4 linked regions of the Callithrix jacchus genome follow. The protein of the gene in region 3 interacts with the protein of the main gene of each other region in a biochemical or structural test. Links are inferred from orthologs where the notes say so. Each region holds a gene or a part of one and is shown on either strand. Other genes may lie near its edges. The genes, in order: NOSIP, KPNB1, KPNA1 and STAT1.

Region 1 (7,857 bases), on a different chromosome or scaffold from region 3:
CGTTGATGGATGGCATTAAGGGAGAGGCTGGTGGGGCCGGATATTCACAGGATGCTAATTCTTGCTACGGGAAGAGACATAGTTGGAGCTTTACGATGTGGTTTTCGATGGCTGCCGCCTGTCTCCGTCTGCTCCGGCTGCCATAAAATACCACTCTGGGTGGCTCAAACCATAGACTGATTTCCTCCAGTTTCTGAGGCTGGAAGTCTGCATTCAGGCTGCCAGCATGGTGGGGTTCTGGTGACGCCCTCTTCCCGGTTTGCAGGAGGCTGCCTTCAGTGGCAGAGGAACCACCTCTCTGGTGTCTCCTCTTTTCTGAGGAGTCTCACTCTGTCACCGAGGCTGGAGTGCGGCGGCACCTCCGCCCACTGTAATCACCTCCCTAGTTCAATGATCTCCTGCCTCAGCCTCCCAAGTAGCTGGAATTACAGGTATCCACCATCAGGCCCAGCTAATTTCTATATTTTTAGTAGAGACAGTTCTGCCATGTTGGCCAGACTGGTCTCGAATGCCTGACCTCAGGTGATCCACCTGCCTCGGCCTCCCAAAGTGCTGGGATTACAAGCATGAGCCACCGCGCCCAGCCTCCTCCTTTCATAAAAACAGCAATGAATCAGGGCCCCACCCATTCACCTTCATTATTTCCATGAAGGCTCTACCTCCAAATATAATCATGTTGGGGCCAGACGAATCTGGGGGGCATTCAGTATATAACGTTCCCTGAAGTTTGGATGAATTTCACCACCCCTGAAACCGGACACCTAGGCAGTACACAACAATGAAGGGGCCAGCTCTGAAGGAGTCACCCAACAGCGGAACTGAAACTTAATCAAGCCGTTACATTCAGTTTCCGGATTCTACAGGAGGGAATAACAAAAAAGGGCCGGAGAGTCACAGCCCCTGTAAATACTCCACTCTGCCCCTGTAGCATAAAAGGAGCCACAGACACACAAACAGGCCTGGCTGTGTTCCAATTACACTGTATTTAAGGCCGGGCGCGGTGGCTCAAGCCTGTAATCTCAGCACTTTGGGAGGCCGAGGCAGGTGGATCACGAGGTCAGGAGATCAAGACCATCCTGGTCAACAAGGTGAAACCCCGTCTCTACTAAAAATACAAAAAAGAGCTGGGCATGGTGGTGTGCGCCTGTAGTCCCAGCTACTCGGGAGGCTGAGGCAGGAGAATTGCTTGAACCCAGAAGGCGGAGGTTGCGGTGAGCCGAGATCGCGCCATTGCACTCCAGTCTGGGTAACAAGAGCGAAACTCCATCTAAAAAAAATAAATAAAAAATAGGGCCGGGCACGGTGGCTCAAGCCTGTAATCTCAGCACTTTGGGAGGCTGAGTCGGGTGGATCACGAGGTCAGGAGATCAAGACCATCTTGGTCAACATGGTGAAACCCTGTCTGTACTAAAAATATAAAAAATTAGCTGGGCATGGTGGCGAGTGCCTGTAATCCCAGCTACTCGGGAGGCTGAGGCAGAAGAATTGCTTGAACCCAGGAGGCGGAGGTTGCGGTGAGCCAAGATCACGCCATTGCACTCCAGCCTGGGTAACAAGAGTGAAACTCCGTCTCAAAAAAATAAATAAATAAATAAATAATAAATAATAAAAATAAACTGTATTTATAGACTCTGACAAAAAATCACATATAATTGTCATGGGTCACCAAGTCCATTCTTTTGATTTTTACCAGTTATGTAAAAATGTTAAAAGCCATTCTTAGTTTGCAAGCTGAACAAAAACAGGTAGCAGTTAAAAAGTCAGATACCTTGGTTGGGTGCTTTGGCTCTCACCTGCAATCCCATCACTTTGGGAGGCTGATGCAGGCAGATCACAAGGTCAGGAGTTCAAGACCAGCCTGGCCAATAGGGTGAAACCCTATCTCCACTAAAATTATAAAAATTAGCCGGGTATAGTGGTGCACGTCTGTAGTCCCAGCTACTTGGGAGGCTAAGGCAGGAGAATTGCTTGAACCCAGGAGGTGGAGGTTGCAGTGAGCTGAGATTGGGCCACTGCACTCCAGCCTGGGTGACAGAAAAAGACTCCGTCTCAAAAAAAAAGAAAAGATATCTGCTGGTGGTTCTGGCTCACACCTGGACACAGCACTTTGGGAGGCCAAGGCAAAAGGATCACTCGGACCCATGAGTTCCAGACCACCCTGGGCAATATGGCGAAACTGTGACTTTACAAAAAATAAATAAATAAACCAGCAGCAGCCAGAAGTTTGAGACCAGATTTGGACTTGCTGTGGGCAACACAGCAAGATCCCATCTCTACAAAAAAACATTGTAAAAACTTAGTGGGGCAAAGTGGCATGCGCCTGTGACTACTCGGAAGGCTGAGGCAGGAGGATCACTTGATCCCAGGGGGTTGAGACTGCAGTGAGTCATGACTGTGCCACTGCACCACTGCACTCCAGCCTGAGTGACAGAGTGACATTGCCTCTTAAAAAATCAGGATATCTGATAAGGGAATTGCAGTGAGAATATATTAAAAACTTACACCCCTTGGCTGGGCGCGGTGCCTCACACCTATAATCCCAGCACTTTGGGAGGCTGAGGTGGGTGGATCACGAGGTCAAGAGATCGAGACCATCCTGGTCAACATGGTGAAACCCGTCTCTATTGAAAAATACAAAAAAATTAGCTGGGCATGGTGGCACGTGCCTGTAGTCCCAGCTACTCAGGAGGCTGAGGCAGGAGAATTGCTTGAACCCAGGAGGCGGAGGTTGCGGTGAGCCGAGATCGCGCCATGGCACTCCAGCCTGGGTAACAACAGCGAAACTCCGTCTCAAAAAAAAAAAAAAATTTCTCCAAAGTTCTACAAATGGCCAATAAAGACCGTAAAAGATACCAGTTCATACCAATTAGAATGACTAAAATCAAAAAGACAGATAATAATAAGTGCTGGTATAGATATGGAGAAACTGGAACCCTCATACATTGGTGGTAGGAATGTTAAATGGTATAGCCATTTTGGAAAAGTCAGTTTCTCAAAAGATTAAACAGACTCACCTTTTGAGCCACCAATTCCACTGCCAATAGAAATAAAAATAGAACCCAGGAGGCGGAGGTTGCGGTGAGCCGAGATCGTCCACACAAAAACTTGTATACAAATGTTGCTAGCAGTGTTACTTATAAAAGGTAAAAAGTGGAAGTTCGGGCACGGTGGCTCACGCCACACAAAAACTTGTATACAAATGTTGCTAGCAGTGTTACTTATAAAAGGTAAAAAGTGGAAGTTCGGGCACGGTGGCTCACGCCACACAAAAACTTGTATACAAATGTTGCTAGCAGTGTTACTTATAAAAGGTAAAAAGTGGAAGTTCGGGCACGGTGGCTCACGCCTGTAATCCCAGCACTTTGGGAGGCCCTGAGGTTGGGAATTCAAGACCAGCCTGACCAACATGGAGAAACCCCATCTCTAAAAATACAAAATTAGCTGGCCATGGTGGCACATGCCTGTAATTCCAGCTACTTGGGAGGCTGAGGCAGGAGAACTGCTTGAACCTGGGAGGCAGAGGTTGCGGTGAGCCGAGAGCAAAACATTGCACTCCAGCCTGGGCAACAAGAGGAACATTATTCAGCCATCAAAAGAATAAAGTGGCTGGCTGGGCACCGATGGCTCACACCTGTAATCCCAGTACTTCGGGAGGCCAAGGCAGGAGGATCACTTGAGCCCAGGAGGTTAAGACCAGTCTGGGTAATATAGCAAGACCCTATCTCTATTTTTAAATAGTTTAAAATAAAAAAAGAGAAACAAGTAAAATAAGACCACAAAAAAAGCAAACGGACAAATTCAGATGGTGGGATGATCAACAGAACTAGACTTAAGTTTCTTCACTGAATTGATTTCACCAAGAAAAAAACAAACTGGAGTGGAAGGGGGAACAGTTCTTTTTTTTTTTTCTTTTGAGATGGAGTATCGCTCTGTAGCTCAGGCTGAAGTAATGCGATCTTGGTTCACGGCAATCTCCACCTCCCGGGTCCCGGTTCAAGCAGTTCTCCAACCTCAGCCTCCCAAGTAGCTGGGATTGCAGGCACATGCCACCATGCCCAGCAGATTTCTCTACTTTTTAGTAGAGACGGGGTTTTCACCATGTTGGCCAGTCTGCTCTTGAACTCCTGACCTCGTGATCCACCCGCCTTGGCCTCGGCCTCCCAAAGTGCTAGGATTATAGGTGAAAGCCACCAAACTGGGCCAGAAGGGGGAACAGTTCTAAATTAAGAGAGATTTCAAAGACAGTAGCAATCACTTAACTACATCCTGATTCCAACAAACCCACAGTTACCCTGGATTGACTATGCACCAACTCGTGGACAGGAGCCTAGAATTACGGTTGTTTTTGTAAAGTGTGATTAAAAAGTATTGTGATAAAGTATTGCAGTCATGTCAACAGTGTTTCCGGTTTTTACACACACGCACCCTGGTAGATAAAATTCACAGGAGGCCATTGGTTTGGACCGAACTCCTGCACTAGCTTCAATAGACCAAACAAAAATGCGAGTCACTCATGCTGAAGGTCCATGCTTCCAAGCCAAAACTCAGTTGTCATCTGATCTTCTGAGACATCAGGAGAGAAATAATAGCCAAATCCCCAAACAGGCCAGTTTTAGCCCACCTGATAAAGGAAGTCCCCTCTACTTTAACCCTTAACTTATAATTTTTTTTTGAGACAGAGTTTCACTCTTGTGCCCAGGCTGCAGTGCAATGGCACGATCTTGGCTCACTGCAACCTCCGCCTCCTGGGTTCGAGCAATTCTCCTGCCTCAGCCTCCCGAGTAGCTGGGATTACAGGCACGCACCACCACACCCAGCTGATTTTGTATTTTTAGTAGAGACAGGGTTTCTCCATGTTGGTCAGGCTGGTCTCGAACTCCCAACCTCAAGTGCTCCGCCCGCCTCAGGCTCCCAAAGTGCTGGGATTACAGGCATGAGCCACCTTGCCCAGCTTAACTAAGAAATTTAATCAAGTTAATCAATTTAACCAACTAGCTTTTCATTTTCTGTTTCTGCTTTTCTCAGCCCTTTGTCTCTGAAAACAACCTCCTCCTCTGCTCAGCTTATCGAGAACACTCGTGCTATTTTCCAGAATTGATGTCCCATTCTAGATTCACAAATAAATGCCAACTAAGATCTTCTCACTAAATGTGTTGTAATTTTGTCTTTTGACAATCCTGAAGTGTCATGATGCCTAGGATTTGTTTTAATCCTTTAAGTTAAAAAATAAAAATACGCCGGGTGCCGTAACTCACATCTGTAATCCCAGCACGTTGGGAGCCTGAGGTAGGTGGATCAGGAGGTCAGGAGATCGAGACCATCCTGGCTAACACGGTGAAACCCCGTCTCTACTAAAAAATACAAAAATTAGCTGGGCGTGGTGGTGTGCACGTGTAGTCCCAGCTTCTCTAGAGGCTGAGGCAGGAGAATCACTTGAACCAGGTGCAGTGAACCGAGATCGTGCCACTGCACTCCAGCTTAGGCGACAGAGCCAGATTCCCTCTCAAAAAAAAAACAAAAACAAAAACAGCAAGTAGTGCCAAAATAATAATTGGTAAATTTGGATGACAGGAATTCCTATGTCTTCTCTCACTTTTATATAAGTTTGAACATCTTCATAAGAAAACATTAACATCCAACTGCCTCAAGGCCCCCTCAAGCCCCAAGTTCACAGAATTAGCACACGATCAGAATGTGAATGTATGATTGCCGGACCCCGTGGAAGCTCCACGCAGGAAAACGTGAAGCCCTGTACCCACCCCGAGAGGGAAGGGACTGTCAGAAAGGTGAAGAGAAGGTGGCGATGGACGACTGGACAATCTAGTATCGCCCGCCGTGCCACCACAGTCGGGGAAACTGAGACCAGAGAAGGAGCTCTCTTCCCTCAACTCCCACTCCTTAGACCCCCAGCAATCCCAGTCCACTGTTTCCCTTGGGACCGCCGGCAAATAGCCATCTACAGCGGAACTGTAACTCTCGGAGAACTGGCCGTTGCTAGCTACCACTTGGCTGAGTTTATAGTGACAGTGAGAGAGAGAACTGACCAATGGACGGTTGGCCACCTCCAGGGGAGTGTAGTTCAGCTTCAAACTTGGGGCGCCCGTACAGCTCTATTAATAATGATCGACAGGGAGTCGGGAATCCAAAATCTTGCCCAGGTCTCCCTCAAGACCCCAGACCTCTAGCCCGCAGGAAAGCGATCCCAGCAACACTCTTCCTACACCGTCTCGAACTCACCTCAAGAACGACTCTCAGTTCCTGGGTCGCCTCTTCAACTGTGCCCGGACACCGGAAAGGAGCACCGGTTACCCTCTCCGCTCCGCCCACTTCCGCCCTGCCGAAGGCACAGGAAGCAGAGGTGCCCCTAGTTGCGGAAGTGCCTCGCCCGGCTTCTTCAAGTCCTCTCGTCTCCTCTTTCTCCCTCCGGAAACGTGAGTGGCAAATCGAAGGTTCCGGTTATTGAAACTGGTGGGACTATGGGGAACGCTTAGTATGTACTAGGCATTTCCCAGGGAGCTAGTTTTTTCTTGTTTGATGCCCAGGCTTTGAGTTTCTCCAAGCCCAAATTTGAGGACTAACCACTTCCCCTAGAGATTAGGAAGCCCTCTTTCCCAAATATATCATCCACTTTTCTTGCTGCATCTTAAAACACAATGGAGAAGGGACAACTGCACTCCCATTTTATGGACAGAACCATTGGAAATGGAAAGGGAAAGCCGTTTCAGTCGCCCTCAGGAAACAGGGATTTACTGCAGCACTGGTCAGCTGTCCCAGGAACTACGGCACATCGTTCCCGCCAGTTTCTGCATATCTAGAGACCTTGATATCTGGAGACATTGATTTTTCTAGCTTGGCCAGGCGAACACCCAGGGGAGAGGCGGAGCGGTTAGGGGTCGGGAGGAAAAAGGAGGAGGGTCGAATCCCATCTCCCAAGTGCCCCAAGGTATTAGACACCTTGGCTCCCCCAGGGAGCTCCGGCCTTTAAGTCCTTTATCCCAAGGTCCCTTTAAATACTTTGTCCCTTACCTGAGTCCCGCCCAGGACAGGTAATAACAAGCTCCGCCCCTCTGCCAGAAACCGGGATCGGGCCTGGTTACCGGGAGTGGGGCGCCCCTCCTCCACCCTCCCCTCTTCCCTGTCCCCCTTCACAGGTGGCTGTAGCTAGCCAAGGAGGTCCGGATTGAAGTGGAAGGGGCAGTGCTCACAGGTCTGGGCAGGTAAGTGAATGTTCCCAGAGGAAGAGCTTGGCTTGGGGACCCAGGCATCCTGGTTCCCCGCCCCTCTGAGACCCAGAAGTCTGGGGCTCCTAGGCTTAGGAGTCCAGGGCCCCTGCCCCCTTAGGTCCCCCAAGAATATATTTAATCCCTGGCCTCTGCCTCTGTCATAATCTTTGTTGTCTGTGCATGGATGTGACAATGAACACAGAAGCACAAGTGGAAATTACCAGGAAGGGAAGAGTCCAGATCACCAGTGGACATGTTTATGAGCACCTGGGTCGGGTGCTGTAGACACAGTGGAGAAAAAGATAAGCTCCCTGCTCTATTCTCTGGTGGACACTGCCTTCACTGAAATCCTGGCCCTCACACTTGCACACTGTGTGACCTTGGGCAAGTTAATTTACCTCTCTGCACCTCAGTTTTCTCTCCTCTAAAATTGAGGATAATAGGATTCCTGGCTATGTGTGGTGGCTCATGCCTGTAATCCCTACACTTTGGGAGGTCGAGACGGGCCGATCACTTGAGGTCAGTAGTTTGAGACCAGCTTGGCCAACATGGTGAGACCTCATCTCTACTAAAACTACACAAATTAGCTGGGTGTGGTGTTGCGCGCCTGTAATCCCAGCTACCCGGGAGGCTG
Region 2 (7,061 bases), on a different chromosome or scaffold from region 3:
TTTCCCGATAATTTTTTTTGCGCCTAGCACTAATCCCCCATAATTTTTAATAATAGCATTATTAATCTGTTAGTTGGACAAAATGGCATTTATGTAATGAAAATGTCCTTATGGAAATACTATGCTTGTTTTGCTATTATAAATCGTGCCATTGCACTCCAGCCTGGGTAACAAGAATGAAACTTCGTCTCAAGGAATAAAAGGAGTTTATTGTACTTGAGTTTAGTGCTTAAGGAATTCAGTCTTTCTGGATATAGCCGGATGCCTTCATAACTGTATCCTGGGAATTTTGAGTAATTCTTTTTTTTTTTTTTTTTTCTTTTTTTGAGATGGAGTCTCACTTTGTCACCCAGGCTGGAGTACAATGCTGTAATCTTGGCTCACTGCAAGCTCTGCCTCCTGGGTTCAAACAATTCTCCTTGTTCAGCCTCCTGAGTAGCTGGGACTACAGGCACCCACCACCACGCCTGGCTAATTTATGTATTTTTAGTAAAAACAGGGTTTCATCATGTTGGCCAAACTGGTCTCGAACTCCAACCTCAAGTGATCTGCCTGCCTTGGCCTCCGAAAGTGCTAGATTAAAGACATGAGCCATCATGGCTGGCCCTCTATCTAAGTAATTCATTGCAGACTACTGAAAGCATTTACACCTAATTATTAATACAAAATTCTGAACTGGAGTTTTGAAAGTTATTTTCAAATATTTTGAAAGATATTTCACACCATCTCTTGTAAAATTACAGAAGGATCTTGGTGACTTTTTTGAGTTAACCCATCCATTAGTATTTCTTTTTCTGAGGTAGCAGTTAGCATGAATTTTAATTTTTGTTTTACTTTGCTAATAATTGTTATATTTTCAGGCTATGCCCACCCTAATAGAATTAATGAAAGACCCCAGTGTAGTTGTTCGAGATACAGCTGCATGGACCGTAGGCAGAATTTGTGAGCTGCTCCCTGAAGCTGCCATCAATGATGTCTACTTGGCTCCCCTGCTGCAGTGTCTGATTGAGGGCCTCAGTGCTGAACCCAGAGTGGCTTCAAATGTGTGCTGGGTAAGGGATTTTGTTCCTGGTGAGAAAAGGAGCTTGCCCGCACCATTGGCAAGAAAGTAGAAGGTGTGGGAGAGAAGTGGATCTGCCTCACTGGAAGGCTTTTTTCTGAATAGCATTTTCTTTCTAATTTATTCAGTTAAAATGTGGGGGAGATTTCAACTGCAAGAGCCAGTGGGAGCAGTTGACTCATGGTTACCGGTTCCTGAACCACTTAAAACAGTCATGGGAACCCAGTGGGGAAACTATCTGGACTTGGCTTGCTTTCTTAAATTACTTGGGGACAAAAAGTTTTGATTAAGGTAGAGAGTTGTTGGCTACAAGAACTATAATTGCTGAGAAGAGAGCAAGCGGGAAGGAAGGTAGGTAGCCTCAATGCTGAGTCAGTATGGCCTAATGTAATTTGTTAAGGGGAGGAGGTTCAAATAAGGAAGGAATGGGGCTCAGAGTCTTTCTGTGAATGGACACAGACTAAATGAAATGGCAGTTATTGCTGAAAGTACTCTGATGCTTAGAGAGTTGTCAGATTATCAGTTATCAGACAGGATTTTTGTGATTGAAAGCATAAGAAATGAAATGGCAGTTGTTGCTGAAAATACTCTGCTGCTTAGAGAGTTGTCTGATTATCAGACAGGAGGAACAGAAAGTACAAATCAAATAGTTAATTTAAAAGATACCTGTAAAATGTTGTCTTGAGATGACCTTACCAAAAAAAAATTGGAGGTTCACTGACACAGCCCGAAAGTATCTTAATGAAAAATGAGATAATCCTAAGGTGTTGGGTTATTTCAGAACTAACATTAAACTTACCTGCATTTCAGGCATTCTCGAGTCTGGCTGAAGCTGCTTATGAAGCTGCAGATGTTGCTGATGATCAGGAGGAACCAGCGACTTACTGTTTATCTTCTTCATTTGAACTCATAGTTCAGAAGCTCCTGGAGACTACAGACAGGTAACTGATATTCCATGAAAATGAGGGACATCTTCGCATCTAAGTTCTGGTGCCTTCTGTGTGGAGGAGATATGTAGCTTAATTATAGAAGCATAGTGAGAAAGGACACGACTCTACCTTCTCTCTCTCTCTTTTTTTTTTTTGAGACGGAGTTTCGCTCTCTTTACCCAGGCTGGAGTGCAATGGCACGATCTCGGCTCACCACAACCTCCACCTCCTGGGTTCAAGCAATTCTTCCGTGTCAGCCTCCTGAGTAGCTGGGATTACAGGCACACACCACCATAGCCAGCTAATTTCCCCGACAACTACCATATTTTTATATGGGATCAAGAACTTGGGGTGAATACAGTTGACTTATAAACAAGCTTTTGAAATGTTGTTTAAAGGGGATTATAAGTTGGAGACAACCTTTAATGATTCATGCTTTATGTCAGCTATACCTAAAGTCATGAACAAAGTAAACCTTCAGGAAGGGAGCTGAGCACAAAATGTTTTTTTTTTTCCTTTAGTTTTTGAGACAGAGTCACGCTCCTGTCACCGAGGCTGGAGTGCAATGGTGTGATCTTGGCTAACTGCAACCTCCCAGGTTCGAGTGATTCTCATACCTCAGCCTCCCACATAGCTGGGACTACAGGTGCCCACCAATGTGCCTGGCTAATTTTTATACTTTCAGTAGAGATGAGGTTTCACCATGTTGGCCAGGCTGGTCACAAACTCCTGACACCTCAGGTGATCTGCCCACCTCGGCCTCCTAAGTTCTGGGATTACAGGTGTGAGTCACCTGTACCCAAGAAAATTGGGGTATTTTCTTCATAGCTATTCAGACAACCTGTTAAATTGTTAACATGGTTCTTTACCATTTCAAACCATTTTTCCCTCTGTAATTTTAGCTCATTTCCTAAAGGACCGTTCTAAATTTTAGCTGTCTGGAGACCATAATGAACATAACTGTTGGCTCAAAGGACTTGAAGATTTGGTTATTAGATATTGTGTTTCCAAACTCAAACCATGTCTGCAGTCATACCAGTTTCTGAGTTCTTATTTCTGGCAAGACAGTGTCTATATTCTCTGTATTATTCTCTGTCCTTTCCCCTCAGTTGAGCCTTTAAGATTTTCGCTGTGTTCTTTACAGACCCGATGGACACCAGAACAACCTGAGGAGTTCTGCATATGAATCTCTGATGGAAATTGTGAAAAACAGTGCCAAGGATTGTTACCCTGCTGTCCAGAAAACGACTTTGGTCATCATGGAGCGACTGCAGCAGGTGCTTCAGATGGAGGTGAGACCTAAGAAGGCCCCTGACTATGGGTGGGAATAGGGCAGTACTTTGGACACCTAGGTCTATTTTCCAGACTGTTCTGTCTTTTTGGTGTTTATATATTTTCTCAGAAGGATATGAAGTTTATTTAAAAAAAATTACACCTTAACGTTAGCATTGCTTGTCATGGTTTACTCAGACATGTGTTATATATATTGTGGGTTTGTTGTTGTTGTTTACTTTCCTGTGTTGGCATTAGGGAAGATTATTGAATGGTTACGTAGAGTATGTTTTCTTCTTTTCCTTGTAGTCACATATCCAGAGCACATCCGATAGAATCCAGTTCAATGACCTTCAGTCTTTACTCTGCGCAACTCTTCAGGTATTATGGTGCTATATCATTTCTTAGTAACTCCAGGAAAGATAATTAATATCTCAGTATGACAAGTTCATGTATACACAGAACTCAAAAATGGTATCGATGATGCTGATCAGAAGCTGTTCTCAGAAGACTTTGGTCTGTGATTGATGAATTGGGAGAGGAATTTCCCACCGGCCTTTCCTCACTGTCTAGAAAGATTCAAATCCTACTTTATTTATAGATGGTCTAGATATAATCTTGATAAACTCAAATCAACTTGACTTCTCCCAACTCAGTGTACACTCATCAAACCTCCCTTCCTCACTCTTGTTTGTTTCAACTAATGTCTCAGTGTAGAGAAGTAAACTACTTGATGTTTGATGGTTCCTCCCAGCTGTATAGCTGGTTTGTGTTGACAGCTTGAATGGTTTTGGTTTTTTGATTTTGAAAACCAAAAGAACTCTTGGTTTTTAATTAAGTTATTCGAGCCTAGCTCAGTCATATTTGGTTCCCAGCTATAGTTCACTTGACTAAAAATAAAGCCTTGAGTTTGTACCATCATCTTTTGAAACATTTGCTGTTTGACCTATTGTCAGTGACATTAATTGAAACAAGAAGAAGGAATGTTTGATGAATGTATATTGAATTGAGAGAAGTCAAGTTGGTTTGATTTTTATCAAGATTATTTCTAGACCATCTGTAAATGGGTAGGATATAGGAAGGGTTGCTTTTTGTTTGTTTTATTAAAAAGAGCTCTAAGGTAACAGGGCTTTTTTAAAGCTCAAGTAATTTAACTATCTAGTAAGACTAGACTATGGAGGCTACCAGCATGGATTTGTCAGACACTAAGGCAAATAAAATGCAGACATGACCTTCTGCACAATGGAGGATCAGCTCACATTGGTTCTGAATTGAGAAATTCAGAAACTGGGGAATGTTAAAATGTATTGCTGGCTGGGCACAGTGGCTCACCCCTGTAATCCTAGCATTTTGGGAGGCCAAGGTGGGTAGATATCTGAGGTCAAGAGTTTGAGATCAGCCTGGCCAACATGGTAAAACCCTGTCTCTACTAAAAATACAAAAATTAGCTTGACACAGTGTGTTGTGTGCCTGTAATCCGAGCTACTGGGAGACTGAGGCACAAGAATTGCTTGAACCCGGGAGGCGGAGGTTGCAGTGAGCCAAGATAACACCACTATACTCCAGCCTGGGCAACAGAGTGAGACTCTGTCTTAAAAACAAAAAAGTAGGGAGAGGGCTGGGTGCAGTGGCTCATACCTGTAATCCCAGCACTTTGGGAGGCTGAGGTGGGCGGATCAGCTCAGATTGGGAGTTCGAGACCAGCCTGACCAACATGGGGAAACTTTGTCTCTATTAAAATACAAAAAATCAGCCAGGTGTGGTGGTGTGCGCCTGTGATCCCAGCTACTTGGGAGGCTGAGGCAGGAGAATTGCTTGAACCCGGGAGGCTGAGGTTGCGGTGAGTCGAGATTGCGCCATTGCACTCCAGCCTGGGCGACGAGTTAAACTGCATCTCAAAAAAAAAAAAAAAAAAAAAAAGTATTGTTAATGATTGGTATTATCAGAGTTTTTTAGTATAAAAAGTACATTTGGCATTCACAAAAGAAAGTCAAAGGACTTAATTGATTTTTAAAAAGAAGGTATACTGTTCTGATTGGGAGATTGGGAATCAACTGATCTTGAACTCTTACTCATTTCACAGAATGTTCTTCGGAAAGTGCAACATCAAGATGCATTGCAGATCTCTGATGTGGTCATGGCCTCCCTGTTAAGGATGTTCCAAAGCACAGCTGGCTCTGGGGGAGTACAAGAGGATGCCCTGATGGCAGTTAGCACACTGGTGGAAGGTCAGTGAAAAATACTGTCTGGTCAGGGAATGTCTTTAGAATGCAGGCATTTCAGTGGCCTTAAATAATTGTCACCCAGGCTGGAGTGCCGTATCATGATCTTGGCACACTGCAGCTTCCACATCCTGGGATCAAGTGATTCTTCCACCTGAGCCCCCACCCCCACCCCCGACACACCAGTAGCTAAGACTACAGATGCACACCACCATGCCTGGCTAATTTTTTATATTTTTGGTAGAGACGGGGTTTCGCCGTGTTGCCCATGCTGGTCTCAAACTCCTGAGTCAAGTGATGCTTCTGCCTCAGCCTCCCAAAGTGCTAGAATTATAGATGTGAGCCACCATGCCAGGACGTTAAAGGATTTTTAACTACAGAAAGCATAGTCCTTCTACTGGGGCATGAGTCACTTCAAAGTTAGATTGAACTTAAGTGTAAATTTGTATAACTGCCTTACTGCCTTGTCAGTCTGTTTAAATGTGGAGTCAGTTTGCAGCTAAGATTGGCTGAGTGTTTTTTTGTTGTTGTTTGAAATGGAGTCTTGCTGTTGCCCTGGCTGGGGTACAGTAACATGAGCTAACCACAACCTTTGCCTCCCAGGATCAAGCGATTCTCCTGCCTCCGCCTCCTGAGTAGCTTGGATTATAGGCATGAGCCACTGTGCCCAGCCAAAAGTTTCTATTTTCTTCCTTTTTTTACCTTCTATTGCAATCACCTGGTTTGGGTTGTAATGCTTTGGGCTCAGATTGACACATCATGGTGCCTGGTATGGGATGAAATGAAGCATTGAGCACATTCTAGGAATTGATTTTCTGATTTTTACATGTGTGACTGCGACATTGCTTTAGGGAAGCCATATCTGACTTAAGACTTTTTGAAGGGCCATTACAAAGCACTTAGAATCTGGAATGCCTCTTCAGGGGTGGCTTATAAGTACATTACTAAGGCCATTTACCTAAGGACCACTCTCCTGAGGACCAGACCTATTTTTGGCATAAACAGTCTATGTCCAACTGGTCTGTCAACATTTGACCACCCTTCTGAAAGGGCAAGGAAGTTAATTTTGGCTCCTGAGGTGGCTGATTTGGATCTGAAGCCCAGTGCTGCTTTTCCTTACCGTGACTTGTTAAGCCCTTGATGGGATTGCTGAAGGACCCTGCATTGAAGCTGGTCTGCAGAAAGGACACGCTATTATCAGATGAGGGGGTGGACAAGAGGCAGTATTGCTGGTTTAGCCCATTTAAAATTAACCTCCATATTCCTTGAGGTCCATACCTTTTTGTTGTGTTAGCCAGAGAAAAGCCCTATTCTGTGGAGAGTTAGCATTGTCTCTGTGGCGTAAGAATTAGGGCCTTTCCAGCAGTAATAAATGTGGCTTATGTAAGCCTTCAATGTCTTCATGATAGAATCCGTAACTGACTCACATTCCACCTGACCTGTTGAGTGGAGCCGAGTCCATTTTGGGAGAGGTAGGATGGGTTATTTTGGCCTACTCTGTTACCCCATGGTGCTGTCATTGACTAATAGTTTGTTTCATTACAGTGTTGGGAGGTGAATTTCTCAAATACATGGAGG
Region 3 (7,061 bases):
GTAGTTACAGCTGCATGATAGCTTGTTTCCTTGTATGATGCCATTCTTGGATATTAAGAATATAATAGTTTAAAACAATGAAAAGGAAGTGAAGGTTTTATTTGGTCACTGTTTGTTACTTCAGGCAATACCATTTCTTAGATTTTTTTTTTCAGGTTACTGATTTCCTCGTGAATAACAGGGTTGCTTACTTTAATTTTTTGCATAATGTGTTTACCATCGATTGTAGGCATTCCCATTTTACAACTATTTCATGTTAAATTCTAATCTAGCACCCAAGGCTGAAACATTTAGAAAAAAAACAAAAACAAAAATAGATGACGAATTTTATTGGAATACAGCTTTAAAGTACAGACTATGATGAAAGAGAAGTTATGTAAAGAACATCTAATTTAAAAATATATATACATAAATATGTTTAACAGTTACTTCTTCTATCATTAACAGAGGCCTATACTCAGGGAAATTCTGTTTTTTACTCCCCCCTCTCATGCATATATGGATACACGCATAAACATATATGCATATCATACATGTGTAGATGGGTGTAGAAAATTTCACAAATACAGCTTGATTAGCTTTCACAAAATGAAAACAGCCCAGTAATCAGCACCCTGTGTATGTGTTTATATTGCCTTATTAATGCATGAATATTTTCAGTGGCTTTCTGGTTATAGTTATTCATCTCTTTCTGTACCCAGTAATAGCAAAACTGTTTTTGATTTTCATTCCTGAATCACCTTTGCACTCAGAGGTTATCATTGTGTACTACTTAGTGATGAACATAACCGGCATGTTATTCTTTTGTTAAGATGTTCCAATTTCTCTCTCTCTTTTTTACCGTCTGTATTTAGGCTATTCACTTGTTTTTCATTTTCTTAGTTATTATCACTCAAATTGTTTTGCTTTTCTGTTTTATTAATTTGCGTAGCTTCTTGAATTCTCCCTCATTTCCCCTGAGACTTTGGTGCTAAACTCAAAATAGCAGTTTGAACGCTGGCACCAATTAGTATTCTAAGTAATTTTTTCTCACCAATAACTCTGTACTATATTCCTATGTACCTAGGTTATTATAATTTCTTTTGCATCAAAATCTCACTATAATCCTCTTTTTCTTTGTTATAGATGGCATGTATGCTGATCTTATTTTTTTCAGGTTACTTTTCCTTACAGTTTTCATTTCTTTGACTTGATATTTGCGTATCTGTTGTGTTTATTCAACTTTCAGCCTGCCTTGTGGTGGGACAGTTTGATTTTATACTTACATCATATGACTCTGGTTTACAAATTAATTTTCCTTGTCGTCAAAAGAAAACTACATTTTAGGTGAACTTGTTTTTTCTTTTTTAGTATAAATAATCTGGCATACTGTTATTTAAAATTTCTTGCACTAGATATCCAAACTACAAGCAATTGAAATATTTCTGTGCCAGCATTACGTATTAGAGAGGAAACTATGACTGGGCTTCATAATGTATTAGATTGAGTGGCTGGAACTTAGCCGTTCTCCTTACCTGTGTAACATTACTTGAATCATTAAATTGTTGGATTTTTTTCGGATAGTTTCCTCATTTGTACACGAGAAAAGCCAGATACCTTACCTCTCTGGGTTGTTGTAGGGATCATCTGCGAGTATGTGAATAGTGCCTTGAGTATATAAAGTATGGTACAGATGTCAAGTTGTAATTTAGGCGTACTGAAACAGTCTGAGTGTTGCTTTCATTAGGAATTTAATTATAGAGATGAATATGTGAAGAGTTTTTATTTCATGATATTTGGGGTTTAATCTGAAAATTCAGAATTTATGTCATAACAAAAAGCGACCAGATGTGGGCTCTTTAACAGAAGTGCTTCTCATCTGGGCCCCCCTGCTACTACTAAACCACCTTACCTCAATCATTATGTCACTTTAATAGTTTTCTTTGGAACATCCATTTATTATGTTTCTTCTGCTGTTAATTTTCTATCGTTATATATCTTTGAATGTGATTTGATCAGATTGCCCATTTCCTCTGACTTTGTCTATTCCCAAAGATTAATGAATTTAGTTTTCTACCTGTCAGCTGCCTTTTAGTTAATCTCAAAGCTTAGAGGAATCACAGGTCATTTAATTATGACTTGTTATTTTCTCTGATTTAAAGGACATACCATGGATTTTTTTTTTCTGTGTATGTGCTGTATTAAGTAGAAGACAGAAAGGTGGAAGAAACAACCTGAAATGTAATTAAAAACTCTTAACTAAATAGAAAAGAGTTAATTCTCAGATTTCTGAATATTAGTCTAAATAGTCAATTTAGTGTTAGAGATATATTTGAGTAGTATGCTCTATTTTTTGTTGGTCATAATTTTCTTTATGTCTTCTGTTTACCAGTGCTGTAATGCTGCATATCAACCTTTGGTCAATTTACCTTCGTTTTTTTCAATCCCTGTTAAGAATGCTCTTTTAAAAAGTCCTATCTCTGTACTTTGGTTTGGATTTCTCTCATTTATGGGAAGCTCTTATGCTTTGAAGTTGTCATTTCTTTTCATTATATGCTTAACTCCTTTGACCTGCTTAACATTTGATACCTTTTGCTTTTCTCACTGTGCCTGTACATTATGTTTTACACTAACATTTTCTCCCCATTTTACTTTGCCCATTCTACAGAAGTTTTAAAGTTTTTTTTATTAGATAGCATGCATGGTACAGGCCAAAAGGCACATAAGGCTTTCCACTGATAAGTGTTTTTTTCATCCTTGTTCCCTAGTTATCATGACCTTTCCCTGCAGCCAACAAGTATTTAGTTTCCTATAACTCCTTCTAGAGATAATCTGTGCAATTAGTAAGTTAATGCATGTATTCCTTGTAATACTTTTAGAAAATGTGGGGCCGGGTGCGGTGGCTCACACCTGTAATCCCAGCACTTTGGGAGGCCGAGGCGGGTGGATCACGAGGTCAAGAGATTGAGACCATCCTGGTCAACATGGTGAAACCCCGTCTCTACTAAAAATACAAAAAATTAGCTGGGCATGGTGGTGTGTGCCTGTAATCCCAGCTATTCGGGAGGCTGAGGCAGGAGAATTGCCTGAACCCAGGTGGCAGAGGTTGCGGTGAGCTGAGATCGTACCATTGCACTCCAGCCTGGGTATCAAGAGCAAAACTCCGTCTCAAAAAAAAAAAAAAAAAGAAAGAAAATATGGTATAATGTCATATTAATGTACACTGTTTGCATTTTGTTTTCGTTTATATCTTTGCAGATCATTCCATATCAACATTTGTAACACTGTCTCATTCTTTTTATGGTGTCATGTCCACTCTATCTTGAACTGAAATTTCAGACACCCTGAATATTCTTCTAGGTTGAGGTGTTTCTTCTGGAAATTCTTTTAAAATTAATATAGTACTCAACTGATAGGTTATGTGTAAATAATGATCTCAGAATCTTTTTTTACATGTTCAGAAAGAGTTACTGTTATAAGTAAAAAAGCTTTACATTCTCAAAAGATAATGAAAATTATTTTTATCTTTGTAGTTTGAATCAGCTTGGGTACTGACAAATATTGCTTCAGGAAATTCTCTACAGACCCGGATTGTGATTCAGGCAGGAGCTGTGCCCATCTTCATAGAGTTGCTCAGCTCAGAGTTTGAAGATGTCCAGGAACAGGTAAAAATGAAACAGAAAGAAGCAGGTGAAAGAATAACATTTTTCCCTTCAATCATATTCAGGGATTGAGTTTTACCAGTTGGCTTTGATAATCTATGGATTGTCACAAAGGAGTGTTCTAGAAATCTAGTCTTAACCAAATAGAAAATTTCTTAGTGAGTGTAGGCAGAATTTTTCTTAGACACATAAAATAATCTTCCCCTTCCAAACCTGACATTCTTTAAGCCCTGAGTATGTACTTTCTAAACCTTGTAAGCAGTTACTAGTAGAGGTTTTTGCTTGTAGAAATTTCCAGTGTTGAAAGTAGGCCAGGCACTGTGGCTCACACCTGTAATTCCACCACTTGGGAGGCTGAGGTGGGCAGATTGCTTGAGCCCAGGAACTCAACCACTCAGGGCAAAATGATGAAACCTCATTTCCACCGAAAAAAAAAATTAGGTGGGCATGGTGTTGCACACCTGTGGTCCTAGTTACTTGGGAGACTGAGGTGGGAGGTTCACTTGAATGAGCTCCAGGAGGCAGAGAGGCTGCAGTGAGCTGAGATCACAGCACCACACTCCAGCCTCGGTAACAGAAGGAGACCTAGCTCAAAAGAAAGTAGTAAGTTTTTATCACTTTTGTGCAGAAAATAGTTTGTTTCACTGTTTTATTTTGTAAGCCAGAAAAATACCTTTTTTTTTTAATGGAGTCTCTGTCACCCAGGCTGGAGTGCAGTGGCACGATCTTGGCTCACTGCAACCTCTGTCTCTCAGGTTTAAGCAATTCTTGTGCCTCAGCCTCTTCAGTAGCTGGGATTACAGGCATCTGCCACCACACCCGGCTAATTTTGTATTTTTAGTAAAGATGGGGTTTCACCGTGTTTTACTCGATACTGGGTGACAGAGCGAGACTCCGTCACCAAAAAAAAAAAAAAAAGAAAAGAAATTGGTTCTTTCCTTTAATAAACTGAATACCTTTAGTTTATTATACACTTTAGAATATTATTTATCTTCTTCCTCCAACCACACAACTGTTTCATTTGACTCCCTGATGAATGTGTTACTGTGATATACTGGCATCTGAAAGAATTAGAAGGGAGTACATAACTTTTATTAATGATTCTTTCACAGGCAGTCTGGGCTCTTGGCAACATTGCTGGAGATAGTACCATGTGCAGGGACTATGTCTTAGACTGCAATATCCTTCCCCCTCTTTTGCAGTAAGTTTCTTCTTCTTCCTTTTTGACAATAAAAACATAAGAGATTCCTCAGAAAGCAGTGCATCTCTGGAAATCATTTTGGATTTTCTGTTGTTATTTTTCATTCCAGACATTTTCTTGTTTAGATCATTTCCTCAGAAAAAAGGAAAAAACGAGGGGAAAAAAAGATCATTCCCTTAAGCACTCTATCTTTCTCTCATGTCAAAATTCTGAATTACTTGTATCAGAATTAATGAAGTTTTAATGTTCTGGGGAAAAGCTATCTGAAGACATCTCTTTATCAAAAGTACTATTACTTAGTATTTATATTATGTTTTCAGAGAATCAATGTCTATTATATAGTTTACCATTGTACCATCATGCTTATAGGTTATTTTCAAAGCAAAACCGCCTGACCATGACCCGGAATGCAGTATGGGCTTTGTCTAACCTCTGTAGAGGGAAAAGTCCACCTCCAGAATTTGCAAAGGTAAGGACTGTGCTTTTGGGACATTGGCAGAAAAAATGCAATTATAAGAGTATAGCAACCAATAGTAAGGTGAACAGAAAGATAATTTTTGTTAAAACTTAAAATGTTAGAATTTTATCTGTTTTTGGAGAAACAGGGTTTTTGTTTTTTTTTTTGGTTCCCTTTATTATTTGAAAAGCAAATTTAAAGCATAGCTTGAAGATGCACATTTATGTAGGGGCTGCAAATAAATAAAAGCATAGCATAAAGGGAGAATTTGTAAAGCTCATTGAAATGAGACTTCATACAATTAGTATACTGTATTAAGAGACTCTTCAGTTCTCCTAAAACAGTGGTTCTCAAAGTATAGTCTGGGAGTCCATGAGATTTTTTTTTTTTTTTTTTTTTTGCAGTAGGTTTTAGGGGAACAGATCAGGTGTTTGGGTACATGAGTAAGTTGTTTAGTGGTGATTTTTGAGATTTTGGTGCACCCATCACCCAAGCAGTGTACAGAGTACCCACTGTCTAGTCTTGTATTTCTCACCTACCTCTCATCCTTTACCCCAGAATCCCCAAAGTTTATTGTATCAATCTCATGCTTTTGTGCCCTCATAGCTTACATCCCACTTATGAATGAGAACATCTGATGTTTGGTTTTCCATTCCTGAGTTACTTTACTTAGAATAATGGTCTCCAGTTCCATCCAGGTTGCTGCAAATGCCGTTGTTTTGTTTCTGTTTATGGCTGAGCAGTATTCTATGGTATATATATCACAGTTTCTTTATCTACTTGTTGATTGATGGGCATTTGGGCTGTTTCCATAATTTTGCAATTGTGAATTGTGCTGCTGTAAATATGCGTGTGCAAGTATCTGTGCACGTTTGTAGCAGTGGAATTGCTGGATCAAATGGCAGATCTACTTTCAGTTCTTTAAGGAATCTCTGTACTATTTTCCATAGTGGTTATACTAATTTACATTCCCCTTTTCACCACATCCATGCCAACATTTATCGTGTTTTTGTTTTTTTGAGACAGGGTTTCGCTCTTGTTGCCCAGGCTGGAGTGCAGTTGTGCAGCACACTGCAACCTCCACCTCCCAGGATCAGGCGATTCTCCTGCCTCAGCCTCCTGAGTAGCTGGGATGATGGGCACACACCACCATGCCCGGCTGATTTTTGTATTTTTAGTAGAGATGGGGTTTCACCATGCTGGCCAGGCTGGTCTTGAACTCCTGACCTCAGGTGATCCACCCACCTCAGCCTCCCAAAGTGCTGGGATTACAGGCATGAGCCACCACATCCCGCCTGTTTTGATTTTTTGATTATAGCAATTCTTGCAGGAGTAAGATGGTATAACATTGTGGTTTCAATTTGCATTTCCCTGATAATTAGTGATGAGCGATGAGCATTTTTAAATGGTTTTTGGCTATTTGTATATCTTCTTTAGAGAATCGTCTGTGTCCTTAGCCCACTTTTTGATGGGATTGTTTTTTTCTTGCTGATTTGAGTTTCTTGTATATTTTGCATATTAGAAGAAACAGGATTTTTTTTTGGTAGTTGTTTTTAATTTGGAATCATTTTTCACTGAATTCATCTTAAAACCCTAGCATTTTTGGTCTAAAGTATCTAAAATACAGAATTTCTTAGCTTTCACATTTTTGAAAGTTTCTTTACCTCTTTAGTCCACAAAGAATGTGTTTTGACAAGGAATCTCACTCCAAGAATTGATGTATATAAAACTTTATGATCTGAAATTAATTTCCTTGGGCTCT
Region 4 (7,061 bases), on a different chromosome or scaffold from region 3:
ATGGAGATGCATTTGAGCCAGCAGGAGGCCACTGTTTATAGAAAGTATGAAACTAGGTCTCTGCCAGTAAAGCAGGGATGTATGGTCACTTTTCTTATTGGAAAGGAGTGAGAAGATTTTCCATGAGCTTTTTATCCCTGTTGTGTGCTTCATAGTGGAGTTCTTAAATCGTGTCTCAGAGGTACTTAAATTGAGTTACTTAAGTATTTAAGTAACTCAGAGTTCTTTCTTTTTTTTTTTTTTTTGAGACGGAGTTTCGCTCTTGTTACCCAGGCTGGAGTGCAATGGCACGATCTCAGCTCACCTCAACCTCCGCCTCCTGGGTTCAGGCAATTCTGCCTCAGCCTCCGGAGTAGCTTGGATTACAGGCACACACCACCATGCCCAGCTAGTTTTTTATATTTTTAGTAGAGATGGGGTTTCACCGTGTTGACCAGGATGGTCTCAATCTCGACCTCGTGATCCACCCGCCTCGGACTCCCAAAGTGCTGGGATTACAGGCTTGAGCTACTGCGCCCGGCCTCCGAGTTCTTAAATTGTATCTCTCAAAAATGAGGAGGAAGAATCAAAATATTGGCCCTGAAACCAGGTTAAGAACATACAAATCAGTTTGAGAATTATTATACATTTGCTTTTTTTTAAAGTGTTATTACATACTTGTTAATGAAATATAAGTAATTTCATGTATATGATTAGACCTCTCCAAGTCAGATCTCTTTTTGAGGGAGCTGGAACTGTTTTCACGTTTCTCGGGGTTCCATAGGAACAAAACTCTGTTTTCTAAAGTCTTTGGAAGTCGCTGATCAGTAGAAAATATGTTTATGTCTTTATTTGTAGTGTATAGAGCATGAAATCAAGAACCTGGAAGATTTACAAGATGAGTATGACTTTAAATGCAAAACCTTGCAGAACAGAGGTAAGGCTTCACAATTGAAGGGGTGCCCATTGGCTGTAATTTTTTCTGTTCACACTAGATAGCGAATATGATTACTGCTTTTTATTTGCCAATTATTTTATGACTCTGAATTGTTCCTTGATAACCCAAGCCAGGGTTCCTTAACATCCAGTACCATTCATGTTTTAGGGCAGATAATTTGTTGTGGGGGCTGTCCTGGCATTGTAGAGTGTTCAACAGCATCCCTGACTTCTACCCACCAGATGCCAGTGGCACTAGCCAGGAACCCTCACTAGTGACAACCAAAATTGTCTTCAAACAATGCAAAAAGTCCCCTGGGGTCAGTGACCCATACTTGATAACCACGGGTTATGTGTTACTCACCTTTGAATTGCGTGTAGTCCACTGATTCATGCAGAGTGACAGAATGTGGAGTTCCCCTGCCCTAATATCTGAAGTTTCTTCAAACATTGCAGGTCCATTGTATACATGGCAGATAAGCTCAGTATTTTTCTCATGTTTTAAAGCAGTGTTACTCTATTTTGTTACTGTTGCTTGTTCTTAATGAGAGTAGCAACCAAAGATAACTCAAGATTGTGTGTTGTACAGAATATGTGGTGTACTACTGTTACTATATTCATCATCTGGCGTATACAACGGTTCATAGGCAGATTATAAGTATGATTTGGGTAAAAAGTATGAGAGACAGCGACTTCAACTACCACTTTATAATCATCTACTTCTCTTCAAAACCTACAGATATGCTTTGCATACATTTTTTTAACTGCAGTTTTGAACTTTGTTATGTACGTTTATTTAGGAAATTATCTGCCAGTGACTGCAGTGGCAGATACTACTATGTCTGATTTAGATGGGTCACTGAAAACAAGCGTTCTGTTTCAGTGTGTCTAGTTGTTATCCTTAGGACTTGTTTTCATGTTTAATAAAGATGGAAGAAAGCCAAACTTTGACCTGTCTCTAGGCGGCATCTGTATCTATTTATCCTAAGTTATATTATCTTGGCTTTTGTTGGTTTTGTCTTATTTATGTAAATATATTTACTGGCTGTCTCTCAATTTATAGAACACGAGACCAATGGTGTGGCGAAGAGTGATCAGAAACAAGAACAGCTGTTACTCAAGAAGATGTATTTAATGCTTGACAATAAAAGAAAGGTAGTTATTTACTTTCCAGAATAGCATGCTGCTTTTGTTACAGACTATGCATAATGGACTCAATTTCAGAAGAGAGGAAACATTATTTTTTTAACCCCCTTGCTTAGAACCCCAGTTGAGAATGAAACGATACTTGCTTTTCTTTTAAAAAATATTTGAAAATTCAGTGATTAAAAATGAATTTATTTCACTATTTCTTCCACTGCCTTTAGGAAGTAGTTCACAAAATAATAGAGTTGTTGAATGTCACTGAACTTACCCAGAATGCCCTGATTAACGATGAACTAGTGGAGTGGAAGCAGAGACAGCAGAGCGCCTGTATTGGGGGGCCACCCAATGCTTGCCTGGATCAACTGCAGAACTGGTAAGATTCTCCAAAGTGGAAAACCAGCAGCTGACTAGCTAACCACATAAGCTCATCAATGCCCCTTTGAGCTGTGTTGAATGGACCTTGTCAAAATGTTGGTATAGAGTTTGATGTAGTCCAGCTTCTGCTTACCCTGGACACAGTCCCTTGGAAAGCACAGTGTTATTCATGACTCTTGCCACATTCAGCCACGTCTGCTTGGTGTGGAGCAGTCCTGTGCCATGGGATGTGTTGTTTGATTGTACAACACCTCAGTGACATGGTCATTATAGAACACAATTAACAACTTGATTCCTAATGTTTCATTCAAAACAAGATAGCTTGAGGCATTTTTCCAGGCTTACATGAATAGTTTGTCGGGAGTCATCCATCCAGTAATACTTATTAAATGACTACCACGTGCCAGGCACTGTACTAGGACCTGGGCACACAAGGATGAATGATTCTTGGCCCTTGGCAACAAGGACTTGTTGGTGTGGAGGAGGGATGTAGACATGGTAAAAATTCTGTGCAGTAGAAATTTCCAGGTGCTCTAACAAAAGGCCATCAGAGTTCTGAGGAGGACAAAGGAAAGCATCTCCAGGGAAGGTTTCATAGAGGAAATGGCCTTGCACTGACTCAAGAGTGACTGGGCTTTTTCCACGTAGAGGAGAAGTGCTTTCCAGCACAGAGAACAGCATGTGCAAAGGCACACATGTGGGAGCCTGAAGGGGCTGTCTGTATTGGGTGGCTGGAGAGTGATGTCAGGTGAGACGGGAAGAAAAGTGGACCTGGCAGGAGCTGCTGGAACCTAACGGTGGAGGTTCTCACACCATGCTAGGAATGGAACGGGGGCCGTGTGTACCCATACTGCTGAGCCAAGGCAGCCTTTTTTCTTAAGCAGGAGGTATATTTCTCTGATCTTTGATTTAGAAAGGGCACTCTAGCCACACAGCCTGTAGGACAGGACAGAGATAGAAAGACCAGTTGGAATACTATTCGCATATTAGTGTGGTCCAGGTAAGAGTCAACAGCGGTTGCACTTGGGATCACAGAGTGAATATGAAGGAATGGTGGCCTGGGCCCATTGTAAAGGGTCCAAGGATCGGAGACCTCACGAAGTTATTTTCTGTATTGCTAATTTTTTTTAAAAATCACAATTAATATTCAGCCATTTATTTTTATTCTGTGAATTGCCTGTAGGTGCCCCAGATTTCTTGTGGATTAGAGCAGAGCTTCTGAGCCCAGTACACGCCATGTGTCTTGAGGAATGCTGACACCCCTAAGCCTTTCGGGTGGCCAGAGAGGCCCTGGGGTGTGTAGAGCCCCCTAGTGGACCTCTTAGACCACAGGCGCCTCTTCTAGGGGACATATATGCCCTCTAGTTTTCCCACTGTGCTTTGTAAGGATTGTCGTTTTCTCTGTGTGCAGAGTTGGGGACACTGGTTTAGCATGTCCTCTGGAACTCAGGCAACTGTTATCCTGCCTTCTCCTTTCCTGACGAATGGCTGCTGTCCCAGGGCTTTGAACTGGAATCGAGAAAGTGAAGTAGATACTTTTCTCAGCGAAGAAGACACTTGTAAAAAGTTTTCTTCTGTCATTACTGCAAGCGAATAAAACTGTGTTTCCCCTGCCTGTTTTACTGTTAGCAGTTGACTGAAGGGAAGGAAGACTAAGAGCAAGTACTAGGTGTACTCACTGGCATTATATTTTTAGGGTCGAGACTGAGCATATGCCTTCTTTCAGTCGAGTGAAACCGGAATCGTTGTTCCTCCCTCACCTCCCGTCCTTGCTTGGCCTTGCCTCCCCTCTCTCCCACTCTGTGCCACATCTCTGACTGGTCCTGCCGAGACACTGCTTGCTGATGCTACTGTCTTGACAGAACCTGCAGTGGCTCCTCGCTGCCTCTTGCATCACCTGGAAGCATCTGCTTTGCTGTTTTCCCTGCCTCTGGCTTCTTCTTTCCCCTGCTTCAGTCACACGTCACCCAGAAGCCCAGCCCACACTCATCTCTCCTTACTTAGACCTCAGTGGTGTGCCGAACTTTTTGATCTAGGCTGTAATCATTCAGTCATGTTAGTTTTTCTCCTCAAATAACAAAGCTTCTAGCACTGGCACAAGCCTCTTTCCCCTTGTTTCTCCCTAGAGCGCAGAGCACAATATCCTGATAACATTTTGTGTGGCACATAACAACTTGTTGGTTTCCATAGGATATGGTTTGGCCATGTCCCCACCCAAATCTCACCTTAAATTGTAGTAATCCCTGTGTGTCAAGGGCAGAGCCAGGTAGAGACAATTGAATTGAGGGGGGTGGTTTCCTTCATACTGTTCTCGTGGGAGTGAGTAAGCCTCAAGATGGTTTTATAAAAGGGAGTTTTCCTGCACACGCCCTCTTGCCTGCCTCCATGTAAGATGTGACTTTGCTCCTTATTTGCCTTCTGCCATGATTTGGGGGCCTCCCCAGCCATGTGGAACTATGTGTCAATTAAACTGCTTCCTTTATAAAGGTCCCAGTCTCGGGCATGTCTATTAGCAGCGTAAGAATGGACTAATACATTAAGACTCCCTTGAATCCAGGCTGCTTCTGGACTGTTTCTCATAAAGACATCTGTGTCTCATACCTTTCCAGGTTCACTATAGTTGCGGAGAGTCTGCAGCAAGTTCGGCAGCAGCTTAAAAAGCTGGAGGAACTGGAACAGAAATACACCTATGAACATGACCCTATCACAAAAAACAAACAAGTGTTATGGGACCGCACCTTCAGTCTGTTCCAGCAACTCATTCAGAGGTAACTCGAGGGACATTTATTTGTACCTTCTGTAATCAGTTCTTACAGAGGAACATTTTACTGTAATTTGGATGATTTAGAAAGGTTTAGTAGGTTATATAAAATTTTTTTAGTGACAGTGACTCTTCCTGAATTCTTTGGTTATACCAGTGGCCCTTCACTCTTATGGCCACCTAGGCTGGAATCTGTAGACACCTTTCACTCTTCCTTCCCCTGTGACCAGGTCTCTGCCATAACCCTAGCATGTCTCACCACCTCCTCTCCCCTCCTCATGTCTCAGCCTCTTAAATCCTCTTTTCTGGACTCTTCCCCAGCCTCCCTACCAGTCCCCCATCCCAGTCCTTCCTCCCTATGTCCAGTGCTGTCCCTGAGCGGAGTTCCATTCTGGTTTCTCATCACCCTCTGATCCAAGTGAAGCCCCTCAGCTGGGCATTCATGGCCCCCCTTCTGCAGCGTGGACCTGGCTGACCACTCCATGCTTCATGTCCACACATGCCTCTTTCTAGGCAAATTTGACCTCTTGCTAATTCCTATAGGGGCCATGCTGCACACTTGCTTCTCAGTGCCTCTCCTGAGGATATGTCATCCTCCTCAGAGCCTTCTTTTCTTGTACCTACTTTCAAATTTGTATCATCCTGCAAGCTTCCGCTTGTATCTCATCATGAAATCTTTCCAAATTTCCCAAACAGATGTTATCTCCCTTCCTGGCCTACAGTCATCCTTCATTCCTCTCCTACTGTGCCTTTTGTTACATGGTTGTTATATATTTCTTTATATTTGTTGACTATCATAAGGTTCTGGACAGTAGAGACATGCTTTTTTCAACCTTTTCCCCCAGCAGGACCTAGCACAGTGCCTTGTGAATAGTAGGTGCTCTAGACAGGCTTAGTACATAGATAAATGTCACTGAGTGGAAAAGAAGGCTTCATATTGCAAACTTGACATAATAAAAATGTAATTTGTTTTTTAATGCAAACTTGAAGTAGTAAAAATGTACTTGATTCTGGGTGGAAGCGATAGCTGAGTGACGGCGGCTGCTGATTGTATTCTAGCGGACGGAGTTGGGGAAGACGTTTGCTCTCCTGGAACAGCCTATCCCATTCCTTTCCTTCAGTTGCCCATGGTGCAGAGAGTCAGGGCAGCTGTAGCAGCAAGGGTGGCTGTGGCAGTGGTGGCAGCTACAGTGACATGTCCACCATGAATCCCAAATACAATTATTTATTCAAGTTACTTCTGCTTGGCAACTCTGAGGTTGGAAAGCCTTGCCTCCTTCTTAGGTTTTGCGGTTGATACATATACAGAAAGCTACATCAGCACAATTGGTGTGGATTTCAAAATAAGAACTATAGAGTTTCATGGAAATCAATCTTCAAATATGGAAGACAGCAGCCCAGGGACGATTTTGAACAGTCGTTTCCAGTTATTACAAAGGAGCCAGTGGCATCCTAGTTGTATATAATGTGACCGATCAGGAGTCCTTCAATAATGTTAAACAGTGGCTGCAGAAAATAGATCGTTATGCCCGTGAAAACGTCTACAAATTGTTGGTAGAGAACAAGTGTGATCTGCCCACAAAGAAAGTAGCAGACTATACAACAGCAAAGGAATTTGCTGATTCCCTTGGAATTTCGTTTTTGGAAACCGGTGCTAAGAATGCAACAAATGTAGAACAGTCTTTCATGACGATTGCAGCCGTGATTGAAAAGCTAATGAGTCCTGGAACAACAGCTGGTGGTGCTGCGGCCAGTGTTAAAATTCAGAGCACTCTGGTCAAGCAGTCAGGTGGAGGTTGCTGCTAAAATTTGCCTCCATCCTTTTCTCACAGCAATGAATTTGCAATCTGAATCCAAGTGGAAA

What was found.
Region 1: the proteins of KPNA1 (region 3) and NOSIP form a complex in vitro, tested with the Homo sapiens proteins (2 studies listed by BioGRID). The link is inferred for Callithrix jacchus from reciprocal best matches to the Homo sapiens genes KPNA1 and NOSIP.
Region 2: the proteins of KPNA1 (region 3) and KPNB1 form a complex in vitro, tested with the Homo sapiens proteins (6 studies listed by BioGRID and IntAct, with this or other methods). The link is inferred for Callithrix jacchus from reciprocal best matches to the Homo sapiens genes KPNA1 and KPNB1.
Region 4: the proteins of KPNA1 (region 3) and STAT1 form a complex in vitro, tested with the Homo sapiens proteins (2 studies listed by BioGRID). The link is inferred for Callithrix jacchus from reciprocal best matches to the Homo sapiens genes KPNA1 and STAT1.

What each region holds. Positions count from the first base shown.
Region 1 is NC_133523.1:43,339,662-43,347,518, forward strand, and holds the start of NOSIP (nitric oxide synthase-interacting protein), read right to left. Parts: upstream 6,280-7,857; 5' UTR 6,238-6,279; exon of another isoform or gene 6,045-6,237; intron 1-6,044. UniProt on the Homo sapiens protein: E3 ubiquitin-protein ligase that is essential for proper development of the forebrain, the eye, and the face. Catalyzes monoubiquitination of serine/threonine-protein phosphatase 2A (PP2A) catalytic subunit PPP2CA/PPP2CB.
Region 2 is NC_133506.1:118,625,809-118,632,869, reverse strand, and holds part of KPNB1 (importin subunit beta-1), read left to right. Parts: intron 1-860; coding exon 861-1,052; intron 1,053-1,870; coding exon 1,871-2,001; intron 2,002-3,133; coding exon 3,134-3,281; intron 3,282-3,570; coding exon 3,571-3,642; intron 3,643-5,344; coding exon 5,345-5,489; intron 5,490-7,028; coding exon 7,029-7,061.
Region 3 is NC_133516.1:80,573,255-80,580,315, forward strand, and holds part of KPNA1 (importin subunit alpha-5), read left to right. Parts: intron 1-3,512; coding exon 3,513-3,644; intron 3,645-4,753; coding exon 4,754-4,842; intron 4,843-5,211; coding exon 5,212-5,311; intron 5,312-7,061. UniProt on the Homo sapiens protein: Functions in nuclear protein import as an adapter protein for nuclear receptor KPNB1. Binds specifically and directly to substrates containing either a simple or bipartite NLS motif.
Region 4 is NC_133507.1:37,806,109-37,813,169, forward strand, and holds part of STAT1 (signal transducer and activator of transcription 1-alpha/beta), read left to right. Parts: intron 1-837; coding exon 838-916; intron 917-1,978; coding exon 1,979-2,070; intron 2,071-2,282; coding exon 2,283-2,434; intron 2,435-5,045; coding exon 5,046-5,204; intron 5,205-6,243; exon of another isoform or gene 6,244-7,061. UniProt on the Homo sapiens protein: Signal transducer and transcription activator that mediates cellular responses to interferons (IFNs), cytokine KITLG/SCF and other cytokines and other growth factors.